Arabidopsis thaliana: one gene and its partner. Each later gene encodes a partner of the first gene's protein in a complex. Each region holds a gene or a part of one and is shown on either strand. Other genes may lie near its edges.

Region 1 (7,392 bases):
ATTAGTTATTCATCAAAGTTTGATTTATTCAATGACTAGAATTAAACGCGGATATATAGCTCGGAGGCGTAGAACAAAACTTCGTTTATTTGCATCAAGCTTTCGAGGGGCTCATTCACGGCTTACACGAACTATGACTCAACAGAGAATAAGAGCTTTAGTTTCGGCTCATCGGGATAGGGGTAAAAGAAAAAGAGATTTTCGCCGTTTATGGATCACTCGAATAAATGCCGTAATTCACGAAATGGGGGTATTCTATAGTTATAATGAATTCATACACAATCTATACAAGAAGCAATTACTTCTTAATCGGAAAATACTTGCACAAATAGCTCTATTAAATAGGAGTTGTCTTTATACAATTTCGAATGACATAAAAAAATAAGGGGATTGGAAGAAATCCACGAAAATATTTGAAATAGAGTTCTAAGGAGAATGAGCTCGGGGAAGGTAGAGTAGAAATTAGTATTAAAAAAAAAGTCGTCAAAACAAAACGAGAGTATATAGTTTCGAAAAAACGAGTTATGCTTTTCGACGATTCTTTTCTTTTTTTTTTTATAATAGACACAGACGTAACAATCAAATTTTTATTCTTGATTGGATTTTTTGAACAAAACATTAATCTCTTTTTTAATTCCTTCAGATTGGAATTGTTATTCAATTGAAAAATAAGTCTATTTTTTTCTGGTTCTAAGACTAGTAGTTCTAGGAGTCGACTCACTTCTTTCAAATTGTTTCTGATTATTAAGAAAAGGTAACAAAGATAAAATACGAGCTTGTTTTATAGCAATAGTGATTAATCGTTGTTGTTTTAAAGTCACTCTATTCACCCGTCTAGATAATATTTTTCCTTGTTCACTAATAAATCGACTAATTAAACTCATGTTTCTATAATCAATTCGATCCCCCGATTGGATCGGGGGCAAACGCCTACGAAAAGATCGCTTGGATTTAGTAAAAAGTCGCTTAGATTTATTCATAATTTTTATTTTTATTCCTTATCTCTAAAATCCTATTTTGATCGGATCAAAATAAAAACGATTTCTATTTCTATATAGGATAGAATTTCTATATAGAATTAAGAATATCGGATTAGATTTCTTTCTATTGATTTATTTGTTTATATTTATATATATGTAATAATATATAGATACTAGCATTATTCCTGTTCTTAAAATAAAAGTTGACATACAAGCACTCAATTTGATCTATTTCTTGATTTCCCCGTGAATTGTATGTTTATAACAATAGGGACAGAATTTTCTCAATTCCAATCGACTAGGGGTGTTATGCCGATTCTTTTGAGTAATATATCTGGAAATTCCCGCGGCTTCTTTCTTAATATCATTTCGAACACAACTGGTACATTCCAAAATAATTGTTACTCGAACATCTTTACCCTTGGCCATGAAACCTCCTTTGGATTTATGATTCACCTCAATCTTCTATTTTAATTTTAGGATCCAGAAAGAACAAGAACAAAAAAAATAGAAGCTGTTAACTAAAAAAAATTCTGAAATATTTCGTTACAATTAATATTTTATTTATTAGTAATTAAATAAAAAAAATAAGTAATACAATGATTTATGATTTTGTGAAAACTATATTTAAAATCTTTGTACAGTAGTTTTTTTAAGTATCTGATAGGTTCCCTAGCAACACTTTTTTTCGTTCTATTACTAATTTCATTGGATCCTGAACCCTCGTTTTTATGACCTTTCCCCCCCCCCCCCACCTTTTCTAATTTATTCTACTAATTAGAAAAGGTGGGGGGGTTAGTCCCCGATTGTTGATTGTATCTCTAAATTTTTCACCCCTTTCTGATGTTAATAACTAGAATGAAAAAAAGGGAAATGTTAATGCATCTGGAAATAAACGATTAATCTCTATTAATAAACCTGCTAACGAACCGAACCATAGAGTACTTAGTACCGGTGCTACGGAAAGATATGTTTTTAGATCTCGCATTAGAAATCCTCCTTCTTTCTTCTTTATTGTATTACATTATATATAGTAATATATATAATTACAGATGTACATGTAATTAAGAAGTTCTTGTATTTGTATATGTAACTTCCGTCCCCCCGCTTTCAAAATTAGAATTTTAATATTGTCGACTAGAACGATCTTATCGATTCCATTTGAAAACGTAAAGGCCTATTTATGTAAAATTGAGAGAATAAAAAAAAAAAAAAAAGTAAATTTTTTAATTATATCTTTGTTATCTGATATGAGAAAAAAAGAAGAAATGAATTTGATATACCAATAAAAAAGAAGGAGGATGTGGAAAACAAGACAGGAATTCTCTACAATGACACTGTAAACCTATTGAAAGGGATGTAGCGCAGCTTGGTAGCGCGTTTGTTTTGGGTACAAAATGTCACGGGTTCAAATCCTGTCATCCCTACCTATTACTGCTCAGAAGAGCAGTAACGAGGTATCTATTTTGATCAATTTTTTTTATCGGACATACATTTAATTCTGAAATTTATGATATACTATGTATGATATAGTATATACGTACAAAATCGAGTCGGGTTAAAGAATGCCCTCTTTCTAGCCTTTTCGTTTTTTAGAAAAAAAAAAAAAGAAAAACGCTCTTAGTTCAGTTCGGTAGAACGTGGGTCTCCAAAACCCAATGTCGTAGGTTCAAATCCTACAGAGCGTGATTTCATAGATTGTATCAAAATTCCACTGTTCACAAATTACTGAGCAGCAGTCTGAATTAGACCTCCCGCATAGGAAAGCAAGAAGGAGGTTAGTAAAAAAACGAGATGTTAATTAATTAAAAGTCCAACTGATCACCACGTCTGTATTGTAAATAAGCAGTTACGAATAATCCAGCCAAAGTAATAGGAATTAGACCTAAGACGATTCCAAATAAAAAAACTTCAATCATTTGAATTTTCTTTTGTTTTCATTTTTGAAAGGGAGAAAAGAGAGGTACTATCTATTCCTAGCTCTTAATCTGTATTGCCAATGAATCTCAATGACCAAAATTTGGTAATTAACACGGTAAGGAACTATCGAACATATTAATAAATACCAACGAAATCCTTTTTTATAAAAAAATCTGCATTCAATTAATTTCAAATAAGTCGTATTTTGCTTAGACCAATAAACAGAACTGAGGTTATAGTTAAAGCTGCTAGTAGAAAACCGAAATAACTAGTTATAGTAGGCATGAAGGGACTCAATAAAATATGTTTTTTTATACATATGTTTCTTAAAGTACTTCCCTAAGTTTCAATTGAAATTTTTTTTAAGAAATAGAGAAAGATAACTAGTTCCAAGAATTAAAAAAATTCAATTGAAAATTTGTGAATTATCAATCATTATAGGTGGTATGAAAAAAAATAGAGAAAGATAAAAAGAACTCAATTCATCGTCTTTGGCATCTGCACTATCTCAGGAGTCAGAATTAACGTAACTTATTAATTGAAAAACTCTTTAAGAAATTAATCATAAAAAAAAATAATACATAAAAAAAATAACTCTATTATCTAACTTCAGTCAAAACATATAACTTTTTTTGAATGAATATGTAAAAATTTGAAAATAAGTTGTTTGATTCTTTTTTTTTATTGACCTTAGAACCTAGAATACGCCTCTTTCTACTTTATTAAAATTGAATTTACTAAAATTTAAACTCATTAGATTAAATTAAATAGTAGAGCAGTTTTCTTCATTTAATCTATCGAATGAGACTAAAAAGAAAAGAGGTATCCTACACGGAGAACGAGATTAGTAAAAAAAAAGATTTATTTATTTTAACTAGATTTTAAACGATAACTAGATTTTTAAAACTTGTAATTAGCAATTTCTATTATCGTTTCCTTTCGAGGTTTTAGGTTTTTTTCTTTCGAGATTATATAGAAAATAGAGTGAAAAACCCATCACCCTTGTAGTTAGTTAAAGAAAGAAAAAAACCTTTGAATTGTGAATTGAATACAACAAAACAATGCACGCATTACAAATATTTAGTCTTTTTTTATTATTTTTATTTGTTGTTCTTTTTAATTGATCCAATCCAATCCAAAACTATTGTTCTTTTTCTTGTTTCTGCAAATTAATTCCTTAAAATGAAACAAAAAGTAAAAGGGGGGATCACATTATCATAAAAAAATCTATTCTACAATTATGCATATGCAATGAAAATGAAATTTATAAATTTTTCATTCAATTAACTTGGGACCATATGAAAATTTGCTTCATGAATTATTAGAATTAGAAACCAACTTCTTGGATTTTCATTTTATCTAATCTTTAGTTTATTTTCTAGTCCAAAACGAATAAAGGATCAAAGCCCCTATAGATTACAGTAATTTGAAAAAGTGGGACACGGTTATACATCGACAAGCAAGAAAAAAAGAAATTATGTAACACCCCATTTCTATACTAATTCAAATTGCGTTGCTGTGTCAGAAGAAGGATAGCTATACTGATTCGGTAGACTCTAAAAATACCCTTGGTACTTTATTGACGATCTCACAAAGATGCAATCTCAGTGAATTTTAATTTACTTATTCATCTTTTACAGAATCGATTCCCTACGAGAATATCTGGAGTTCAGTATGTCTGGAAGCACAGGAGAACGTTCTTTTGCTGATATTATTACCAGTATTCGATACTGGGTCATTCATAGCATTACTATACCTTCCCTATTCATTGCGGGCTGGTTATTCGTCAGCACCGGTTTAGCTTACGATGTGTTCGGGAGCCCTCGTCCAAACGAGTATTTTACAGAGAGCCGACAAGGCATTCCATTAATAACAGGCCGTTTTGATCCTTTGGAACAACTCGATGAATTTAGTAGATCTTTTTAGGAGGACCCAATGACTATAGATAGGACCTATCCAATTTTTACAGTGCGCTGGTTGGCTGTTCATGGACTAGCTGTACCTACCGTTTCTTTTTTGGGGTCAATATCAGCAATGCAGTTCATCCAACGATAAACCTAATTCAATTATAGAGCTATGACACAATCAAATCCGAACGAACAAAGTGTTGAATTAAATCGTACCAGTCTCTATTGGGGGTTATTACTCATTTTTGTACTTGCTGTTTTATTTTCGAATTATTTCTTCAATTAAGAAAAGAGCGTAGAATAATAAAATAAAAAATAAAGAGTAGTAATTTTATTATCCCATTCGGATGGATTATATATAATAATTATCTCTGACTGTTTATGTTTCTAGCATGACCACTCGATTAAATGTGGAGGGAAGCGGGATAAATGGCTGATACTACTGGAAGGATTCCTCTTTGGGTAATAGGTACTGTAGCTGGTATTCTTGTGATCGGTTTAATAGGTATTTTCTTTTATGGTTCATATTCAGGATTAGGTTCATCCCTGTAGAAATTGGATGAGCTGAGTTATAGACGTGAAAACATAAGAACTCAACGGGGCCCAACTCTTCCTTCTTTGTCTGATTCGAGGGGGTCCCGTTGAACTGCTAATAATCAGAACAATTTTTTATCGTGTTTTTGAAAAATGAACTTAACTAAATTAGTATATTATGAACATATAGTATTTTTTAATCTTTCAAAGATAGAATAAAAAAGGGGAATCACTTCATTCCCTTTTCCTGCTTCCCCGGCTGACACAATAGTTTTTATCATTAGATCTATCATTAAAATTTAAAATTTGGTCTATACTATAATAGAATCGAAATAGAAGTTTTTTCTGATTTTATTTATTTAGTATTTCATCAAAATTGAAAAAAAAAAAAAGAAAACTACAAAAAGTAACTACTATAATATATATATATATATGTAAACTAAGAATAGGAGTTTTTAACGAATTGAATCAAGAAGGACAAGATCGACACAAGAAAAGGATGTCTAAAATTCCTTTTCTTGTGTCGAAGACTAGCAAGACAAAAAATACTCCCTATAGTCCCTAAAACTTGTTGTTTCGCCGATTTATGGTTCCCCTTTTTTTCGGCGCGTGTGTTCCTTATCTTATTTTAGTATCTAGTCAAATTTTGCCATTTGACTAGAAAAAAACTCTTGATTATTGATACATTCTATCAATTTCAATTGGTCAATAACGACAGAGTTACATCACACCCCTTCTCATTTTTCAAATTTTTATTGAAAAATAAATAAAGGGGGGTAAAGTGAATTCTTCTCAATATACATACTAGTATTAGGACTATGATATAAGTAATTCCTGACATCTAGTCGAAAAGGAATAGCAAATCTAAAGAGAGGCAAAAGGTTTTCATAATTTTTTGTTCTTTTTTACGAATTTGATAAAGCTAAATAGACAGATCTAAAAATTCATTTCGGATAATTGAACCTTCTCAAACTGTTTCTTTTTAAGAACCAAAAAGATTTGTGCCAAAACAACCGATCCTAAGAAGAACAAAAGACCTTGGACACGTAATGGATCTTGAAGTACTATTTCCGCATCCCCCTGACCAAATCCACCCACATTAGGATTACTCGTTAATGGTTGATCGAGTTTAATGGATTCGCCCTCTGAAACAAGAAGTTCTAGGCCTCGAGGGATAATATCAATAACTTCGCGTCCATTCGATGCATCCACTATGGTTATTTCGTATCCCCCCTTTTCTTTTCGTAAAATTTTACTTATTATCCCTCCTGCCGTAGCATTATAAACTGTATTGTTACTTTTGCTACCATCAGGATAAATCTGACCCCTTCCCCTGTTTCCACCTACATATATAGGATATTTTAAGAAGTGAACATCTTTATTAGTAGCAGGGTCTGGAGCAAGAATAGGAAAGGTTATTTCACTATATTTTTGACCAGGAACAGGACCTATCACAAGAATATTTTTTTTATTGGGACGATAATTCTGAAAAGAAAGATTTCCTATCTTTTCTTTCATCTCGGGTGAAATACGATCGGGGGGGGCTAATTCAAAACCCTCCGGTAAAATAAGAACAGCTCCCACATTCAAAGCCCCTTTTTTACCATTAGCTAGAACTTGTTTTAGTTGCATATCATAAGGAATTTTAACAACTGCTTCAAATACAGTATCAGGAAGTACCGTTTGTGGAACCTCAATATCCACGGGCTTATTAGCTAAATGGCAATTGGCACATACAATACGCCCAGTCGCCTCTCGTGGATTTTCATAATTCTGCTGGGCAAAAATCGGATATGCACTTGAAATGGATGCCCAAGTTATTATATATATTATGAGTGAGACAGATATGGAGCGAGTAATCTCTTCCCTTATCCAAGAAAAGGTATTTCTAGTTTGCATGGTCCAATCATTTATCCCGAAAATTTCTACAATAAAGTTAGCTAGGTCGATAATATACTTCCCTAGCCACAATTCTGCTATTTACATTTACTGAAAAAAATCAAATTTTTTTTGTTGAAATATACAAGGAATCCCTCATGGGTAAAAAAAGT
Region 2 (7,791 bases), on another chromosome or scaffold:
ACAACGCAGTGATGGTCTTTGACATCTACCATCCGCTAATGCGAGAATTCTTGCAAGAGTATGCCACAACTTTCGACGGAAACAAATGGGGATACAACAGCCCTTACCTAGTCTCTAGAGTTATCAAGAGATTAGGAAACAAACCTGGATACAACAATCTCACAATCTTTTCTCCCGATGCTTTCTATCCAGTAAACTGGATCAAAATCCAAAAGCTTTTCAAGAAACCTGCAACCACAAGAGAAGCAAAATGGGTAGAGAAGACAGTACAGGACATGAACAAAGGGAGTTACATGATACATCTGTGGAACAAAGTCACAAGGAAGATTAAGATTGAAGAAGGAAGTGTAATGCACACTCTCGTCTCCACTCACTGCACAGTCTGCGGAAACATCACAAACTCTCACATTTAAAGATCCAAACAGAGACAGATGATTCATCCATCTGATCTATCTAAGTATATAGATTCTCGTTCTTAGTTTGCTTTACTTTTTCAATGTAAAAGACTCAATGATTCATAAAGAAGCAAACTTTTCATAAAAAGATGAGAACTTTGGAGATGTTTTTAACAACAAAAGAGTCGTAGCATCAAAGCTTTTCAAAAAACAAATTAAAATTACAGTGAGAGACAACAAGTGAAGAATCTCATATTTCTAATTAGAGAAGAGAGACTCGTCGATATCGATTTTGATCTTCTCGTCGTTCTCAAACTTATCTTTCCTCGGTGGTGCTGGAGGAACCGGTACTCTCTCCGGTCCTCTTCCTTTGCTCTTGTTTCTTGGCCTCGCCTGCTTACATAAACCCCAAATTCAAAACCAAAATTGCGAATTTGCAAAGTAAAATTACGAAATCGGAAAGAGAAATTTGATTACTTACATTCCCAAAAGAGTGATTGAAACGCTTTCCTTTAGCTGTTTTCCGGTCACCTCTGCCACAGTACACTGCGAACACCGGAAAAGTTACGCCATTGACGAATTAAGAGAGAGTTAGATAAGAGAGGGAGATTACCGAGTGGAATTGAGCTGGATGAGGAAGTGGAGAGAGAGAATTGATGAGTGAAGCAAGAGAGAGAGACACCGGCAGTTTCAGAGTGAGAAGATGATAACCGTGAGGAAGGTAATGCGACGGTGACTCGCGGAGGAGCTCCGAGTATAAGCGACGCCATCGCCGTGTGCTGTTTTCGAATTTGTTCGAAGAAGAAGATCCAGAAGAAGATAAGGCAGTGAGAGTAGAAAAACGATTTTAGGATAGGCTTTTAATTATCTTTTCATATTTGGGCTTTAATTTCAATTGGGCTTATTTTAAAGCCCAAATATATCTAAACCCTACACATGCTTGTCACGTGTGTAATCGACCTTGTTCTTGTTCTTGTTCTTGTTCTTGTTCTTCTTCGTCTTCTCTTCGGAGCTTTTTTCTTCAGATATCACCCAGATCGTAACTTTTGATCTTCGAATTTCACAAAGCTCAAACTTTTGGTAAGTATTCTTATCATCTCATTGATCTTGGGTTTCTAAAAAGTTTCAATTTTTATAATCACATCTCTTTCTAAATCTCTCATTACTTGGTATTTAAAATCTGTGTGTGTTTTTTTCATTCTTATGCTTCACAGGATTCTTTACTAATCCTATTGTCACATAACATCGGTAAGCTCTCTTTTTTCTGAACTCTCAAATCTTCTATAGCTCGCTTTAGCCAAAGTCGTTTGCTTTAGTAGAGTGTTATAGATTCTGCTTCAGCTGTTTATTTGAGGCTTTGAGCAATCTGAGTTTGTTATGAAAACATTGAACTTTCAATTCTGAAACAATCACTCAACTTCGATTCACAGAAAATGATTTATATTCTCTAACTTTGCATTATGTGTTTCATCACTTCCTATAGGAACAAGATCATCAATGTATAAACAACTGATCAGAAGTTCATATTTCTCTTTGTAAGTATACAATTCGGGATCTTGATCACTTCTTGCAATGGAGAAAGAGATGGAAGATAAAGAAGAATTCGATGAGGGTGAGATTGAGTACACGAGTTATGCTGGTGAGCATCATCTGCCATTGATTATGTCTCTTGTTGACCAAGAACTTAGTGAACCTTACTCCATCTTTACTTACCGGTACTTCGTCTACCTCTGGCCGCAGCTATGCTTCCTGGTATTTTGACACTCAGCTTTCGATTATCGTTGCTTTACCCTCATGATACTTATGTTTTGATGGATTTATGAGTAGCATTTGTTTTGTTTCTTTTAATAGGCCTTTCACAAAGGTAAATGCGTAGGAACCATAGTCTGTAAGATGGGGGATCATCGACAGACTTTCAGAGGGTACATCGCTATGTTGGTTGTGATTAAACCATATCGTGGCCGAGGCATAGGTAATACTTGAGCTAGTGCTTCCTAACTTCTTACAGAATCAGATTTTGACTGTGGGAGTAGTGTTTGATCTACTGCAAATACATGCCTCTCTTAAGGTTCGATAATTTTGTGTGCTGACTTGTCATTGTTTTTTTACAGCCTCAGAGCTTGTCACAAGAGCGATAAAAGCGATGATGGAATCAGGCTGTGAAGAGGTATGCTGTTCTTGCATTCTCACTTCTCTCTTTATTCCCACTTTGGAGAACTTAGATATTTGGTAGCACTAGAGTGATATCCTTTCCTGGTAGTATAAATGTAGATAAGACCTTATGAACCACCTTTTCCGGAAGGTTATAAGTCCATTACATGTCCTGAAATAGTGCCTCCTTTTTATCTACTAGAATAGAATTTCATAGCTGAGGTGATGTAGCTGCCTTTAATCATTGCAAGTATACCTATTGCTTTTGATTGTTTAGCTAACTGTGTGTGTAAGTTTAGTTCCACGTATAAAAGTAGTTAATCATACTCCTAAGAGTTGGAACTTTTCGATATTCGTTTAGTTACTAATTTTGTAGTGGAAATCAAAATCCCAGTCTCTCACTTAGTATACATATGTTGTATAAGTCTTGTATGTAGTCCATGACTCTTTATAGTCACACGCATTGGAATGTAACTGATAGTAATATAAAATAAGAAATCCCTGTCTCCCACTTACTAATTGCGTATTCGACGAATCATTTTCTGTTGTATGTGTGATCTCTTAACTGTAATCTCAGTAGTAAATAGATTGGAAAAAGAACCTCGTGATTGGCATTTGCTCTTCAAGTTCCTCATAATCAAGCCTGATTACAACATGAGAGTATGGTTGTCTGGTTATGCAATCTAATTAATGTAAAGATGTATGGCTGAAGGTAACTCTGGAGGCAGAAGTGAGTAACAAAGGAGCATTAGCACTATATGGGCGACTCGGGTTTATAAGAGCCAAACGGCTATACCACTATTACTTGAATGGGATGGATGCTTTTCGCCTGAAGCTCTTGTTCCCTAAGCCTCGTGTACCTCAAATACCTTCTCAAGTTCAAACCCAACAAGAGTATGAGACCTTTCCTAGGCCTCGTGTACCTTAAGGCCATGAACGAAGATGTGTGTTTCTTCAATGTATTCTAAATCCTGAACATGCTAAGACTATGTTCTCTTTCGTATGAAGAAATATTATGTGTTGGTACAATTCTAGTCCCATGTTTATGAAGTATTCTCGACTGGAGTAAGCGATTAATCTGGACGTTTCAACGGTCTTGTGTGTCTACAGAAACAATTTAGCATATTCATATCACTTTGTGGTGTGCGTATATACGTTTTTAAGGTCTCTCAAACTTGGTTGATGATTGGAAACAAAGATCTAAATGTTGTTACAAATTCATATAACCACTTAACTTAACCTAATCGTCTCAGGCTACTCCTGACTTCGAGTTAAGTGGATGATATAGAAATCGAGATGTGAAGTGATTTTCAGCCATCAAAATTTTCAAACAGCTCTATATACCTCAAAAGAAATCCAAGATGACAAAAAATTGATTTAAGGCCAAAGGAGAGAAAGATGCCAGTCAAATGTTATGAAAAGACATGCTTGAATAATTGGTATGAGATATTTTATGAAATACTTTTATTGCATACCGTATTTTACTATAAAACAATTTTCTTTTCACAAACACAACCATCTTAGATTTATCCATGTTAGCCGAGATTTTTTTTGTATCCAGATAGTCCACTTTACAAAAAAAAAAAAGTCTAATATAAAGAAGAAGAAAAGCCTCAAATGTAGTTGCAAAACTCACATGGCCTAAATCAGAACAAATTAAAGACGATTCACCACTCGCCACATAATAGTTTATTGACAATTTGAACCCACTCGTTACCAAGGGTCACTAACCAAACGTTACCAAGGGTCCTACTCCATATCGCATAATATGACTCACATTCACTTCTTCTTTTCTCTTTAACGATTTTATGCTATTAGAAGAAACATTTTTGCAAAGTTCTTTTTTATTTTGACCCCCAACAAAAAAAAAGTCAGATGGAAAGTACAAGAATCGGACTCTGGATTCAAACGAGAATATTAGTTAATAATTTTACATATATAGTTATAATCTTTGGGGGCAAAGTACATGTGAAAGCAGAGCATATGATAAGGGGTAAACGATTGAGTACGAATGGAACGAACACATGCCATATTTAATATGAGGGACAGGAACGGTCCTCTGATCCATTCTTTTGATCAGAGAGAAGATGAAGAGTGTCAAGTAAATAATGGCACGTGACTCGGACGAAGTATCCACGTGCGTCCTCTCCCCACACCCATGTGGCCCATAGGATATATGACCGGCTCCGTCGGTCCAACTTGTCCATGTTCCCCTATTTAATTTTTAAACACACCCTGCCGTTAAATCAAATTTTCCAAATAAATTAAAGTGTTATTTCAAAATTTTAATGTAAACTTAGTAGTATTGTCGCTGTGCTATGATCAAAACTGTATAATTAAAAGATCTAATAGGATCCTAAAGAATTATCTAGTATCGGAAGATATTGTTCATGGTAAAATAGTTTATATAAGTCTAATTAGGATAAATGTATAAGATAAGAATTGTTTTTTGTTACTAAAGACAAGTAAAAGGAGAGAAGACGATACATTTTCTTAGCCTATTGTTTTAACAATACCAAATTAAGAAATCACACACTACATATTATCGACTATTCAATTTTAAAAAAAAAACTAAGGAGTGAAAACAAAAATACAAAACCCCAAAAGAGAAAAAAATAATTAAGAGCTTAGCACGCATTTAAAGGGGTGTGTAAAAAGTACACTATTTTCGTGACTTTTACTCCCTTCACGTATACGAACACAAAACACAAAAGAAGAACAAATAATTTTAAGAACCCTCCACAAACGCATTAGAAGAACCCTGACTCGATCTCTCAAAGACGGTGGTGTAAAGCGGAGACCGGGGCATGTGCGGCGGCTGCAGCTGGTTTACATTGGTAACACTTGGCAAAGAGACCAAAAGTGTCGACTTGACGAACAAAGTTGGTTACACTAGCCCATCCACCGAACCCAAATCCGACTATAAGAACCCAAACCACCACGAAAGCATTCAACACGTACATCGCCGTCCAGCTCGGCATAAAGAACGGTGGCTTCTCCGCCGCATTCTACAAGAAAGATCCAAAACACAAAAATAATCAGAGAACCATTAAAGAAATAGAGAGTGTGTAAGTGTTTTAGAGTTTTGGTCGTATAGTAATGGACAAAATCCAAAGCTTTGTTGACCCATGAGATAGAGAGAGAGAGAGAGAGATATGATTGTGATTTGTCATACTCAGACTCTCACTTTAGATTAATGTTAGGCATAGAGTCCCTATTGTACAGCTCCTTTTCATTTCTGATTATGACTCTTACCTATTCCTCTCCCCTATTTTCCTCTACTTTTATCTTACGTAAATTTAATATACACTGTTTTGAAAGAGAGAAAGAAAAAGAAGTCATGGTCAATTACTAATACTAACCTAACCGGATATTGTATTTTTTCTTCTAAATGTAACCAAATAAAGAAATGGCTGAAACCAACTCAATAATATATTATTTGGAGGGGACGCCAGTAAGGAATGTGGGTGATGATCCTATCTTCCGTAAGATACGGAACACTGAACCCCATCTATCTTCCACAAAAGACGTTTTTGCCCTCCAATTTCACAACCCTACCCCCCAACTATAATATTCCTCCACCGACTCTTCATTTCATTTCTAAAAAATTATTGGTAACTCAATGTATTTTAGGTTAAGTTCGAGTTTTGAAACGCTAAAAGAGAGTGAGCTAGTAAAGATGTTATACCTGACGAGCGGAGGCAGATCGGTAAGTGAGCATGTGAGCGAGAGATGGGATGATATAGACGGTGAAGCTAACAAGAAGAGCACCGACAGCGGAATTGATTGGACCGAAAAAGGGGAAGATAATAGCTAAGAACCAAATAGGTATGACCACAGGCAATCTAGCCAAAGCCCTTAAGCAAATGCTCTTTGTGTCATGCATCCCAATCACTTTCTCCCACACAAAGTACAAAGGTGTACAAGCGAACCCGAACGTTATAAACTGCACGAACAAGAACACGTTGCATTAATCTCTCATGATCAAAATTTACTTAAAAAAGAAAGAACAAAAATGTTGTATGTGTATACCTGATGAATGAGCATGAGGATAACAGCGGCGTCACGCCACGCGTTCTTGGGCATAAGAGAGAAAGCGTTGGAGTGGTCGAGAAGTGCGTCTCCGAAAGCCCAGTAAACGGCGGCAGCTGACGGAATCGTTAGCGTGAACACGTATAACGTCGCCATCAAGTAAATGTACTTAAACTTCTGTGGTTTCCACATAGCATGCATAATCTCACTGCAAATTAGAAATTACTGTTAATATTCATAATTTCATCCAAAACTTTAACTATGTAAAAGATTGGATTCACAACAATCATTGACGCATAAAAAGGGTGTATTTGACATTTCGCAAAAGCGTACTATTCCTACTAGTAGTAGTAGTGCTTTGGTAGCAATAGTGTTTGTTATTCTTTATAGGGATAGGAATAATAATGGTTATTCTATTTTATATTTAAAAAGAGCTTATTTTATTAGTACTACTATTTTAAGGATTGCTAAAAATAATAATGACAATCATGATGACTGTAATAATAGTTACACCTTATTTGCCGGCAAAAGCTGCAATAGAAGCGGCGAAGAAACGATACAGCAGCACCCATAATTTAATAATATGGCACCATTTTAATTTACCATATACTTTTTCTGCCATTTAGCTTTAACTTAAATAGTAATTCAACTATGTCTGACAAAATTTATTGATCTTTTATTAGATACAAAATTAATAATCATTAAGAAATCAAAAGAAGAGTAACTTACACAGTAACCGCGTGACCTCCAAAGGTGTACAAAATATTTGTGGCTCCCGTAAAATAAAGCACTAGCTTTGTTGGACCTGAATGTTTCACACCTTCCGCCTAAAATAAACAACAAAAAAAAAATTTGATTAGGAGAATATTAAACAGCTAATTTTGTCTAAGTTATATTATACATACACTTTTTAATACAAATTTGGGTTAAGATGCAAAGAATAATCCCTGATCTTAAAGAGAAAATACGAATTTTTTTTATTCTTCTTTTTAATTAAGGCATATACTGTCACCTCAATGCAAAGCATATAAATATGAAAACGACAGTGTAGTGATCTTTATAATGTGATGAAATATATTTTTGGTGAAATATATTAAAACATTACCTGGCCGTGGATGATGGAGGCAATGGCTAAGTACCAAGCGGTGTAAGTGGTCATTCCAAGGCCAAGGAATGACCAAATTCGGTAATTGTGAAACGACGGTATAAAGAC

Evidence for each region. Proteins that work in one complex are often made in the same cells at the same time.
Region 2: rps18 (region 1) and PSRP4 share a complex: the UniProt entries of both Arabidopsis thaliana proteins name them as parts of the 30S ribosomal subunit.

Annotation. Positions count from the first base shown.
Region 1 is NC_000932.1:61,505-68,896, reverse strand, and holds rps18 (ribosomal protein S18), read right to left. Parts: upstream 981-7,392; coding exon 675-980; downstream 1-674. Other genes in the region: rpl20 (ribosomal protein L20), read left to right, coding at 32-385; rpl33 (ribosomal protein L33), read right to left, coding at 1,209-1,409; psaJ (photosystem I subunit IX), read right to left, coding at 1,834-1,968; petG (cytochrome b6/f complex subunit V), read right to left, coding at 2,786-2,899; petL (cytochrome b6/f complex subunit VI), read right to left, coding at 3,090-3,185; psbE (photosystem II protein V), read left to right, coding at 4,575-4,826; psbF (photosystem II protein VI), read left to right, coding at 4,836-4,955; psbL (photosystem II protein L), read left to right, coding at 4,977-5,093; psbJ (photosystem II protein J), read left to right, coding at 5,237-5,359; petA (cytochrome f), read right to left, coding at 6,278-7,240.
Region 2 is NC_003071.7:15,974,322-15,982,112, reverse strand, and holds PSRP4 (plastid-specific ribosomal protein 4), read right to left. Parts: upstream 1,266-7,791; 5' UTR 1,166-1,265; coding exon 1,009-1,165; intron 942-1,008; coding exon 877-941; intron 789-876; coding exon 654-788; 3' UTR 501-653; downstream 1-500. Other genes in the region: AT2G38150 (alpha 1,4-glycosyltransferase family protein), read left to right, coding at 1-413; ATMAK3 (Acyl-CoA N-acyltransferases (NAT) superfamily protein), read left to right, coding at 1,968-2,147, 2,247-2,367, 2,507-2,562, 3,259-3,474; AUX1 (Transmembrane amino acid transporter family protein), read right to left, coding at 5,321-5,554, 6,235-6,492, 6,579-6,786, 7,308-7,405, 7,684-7,791.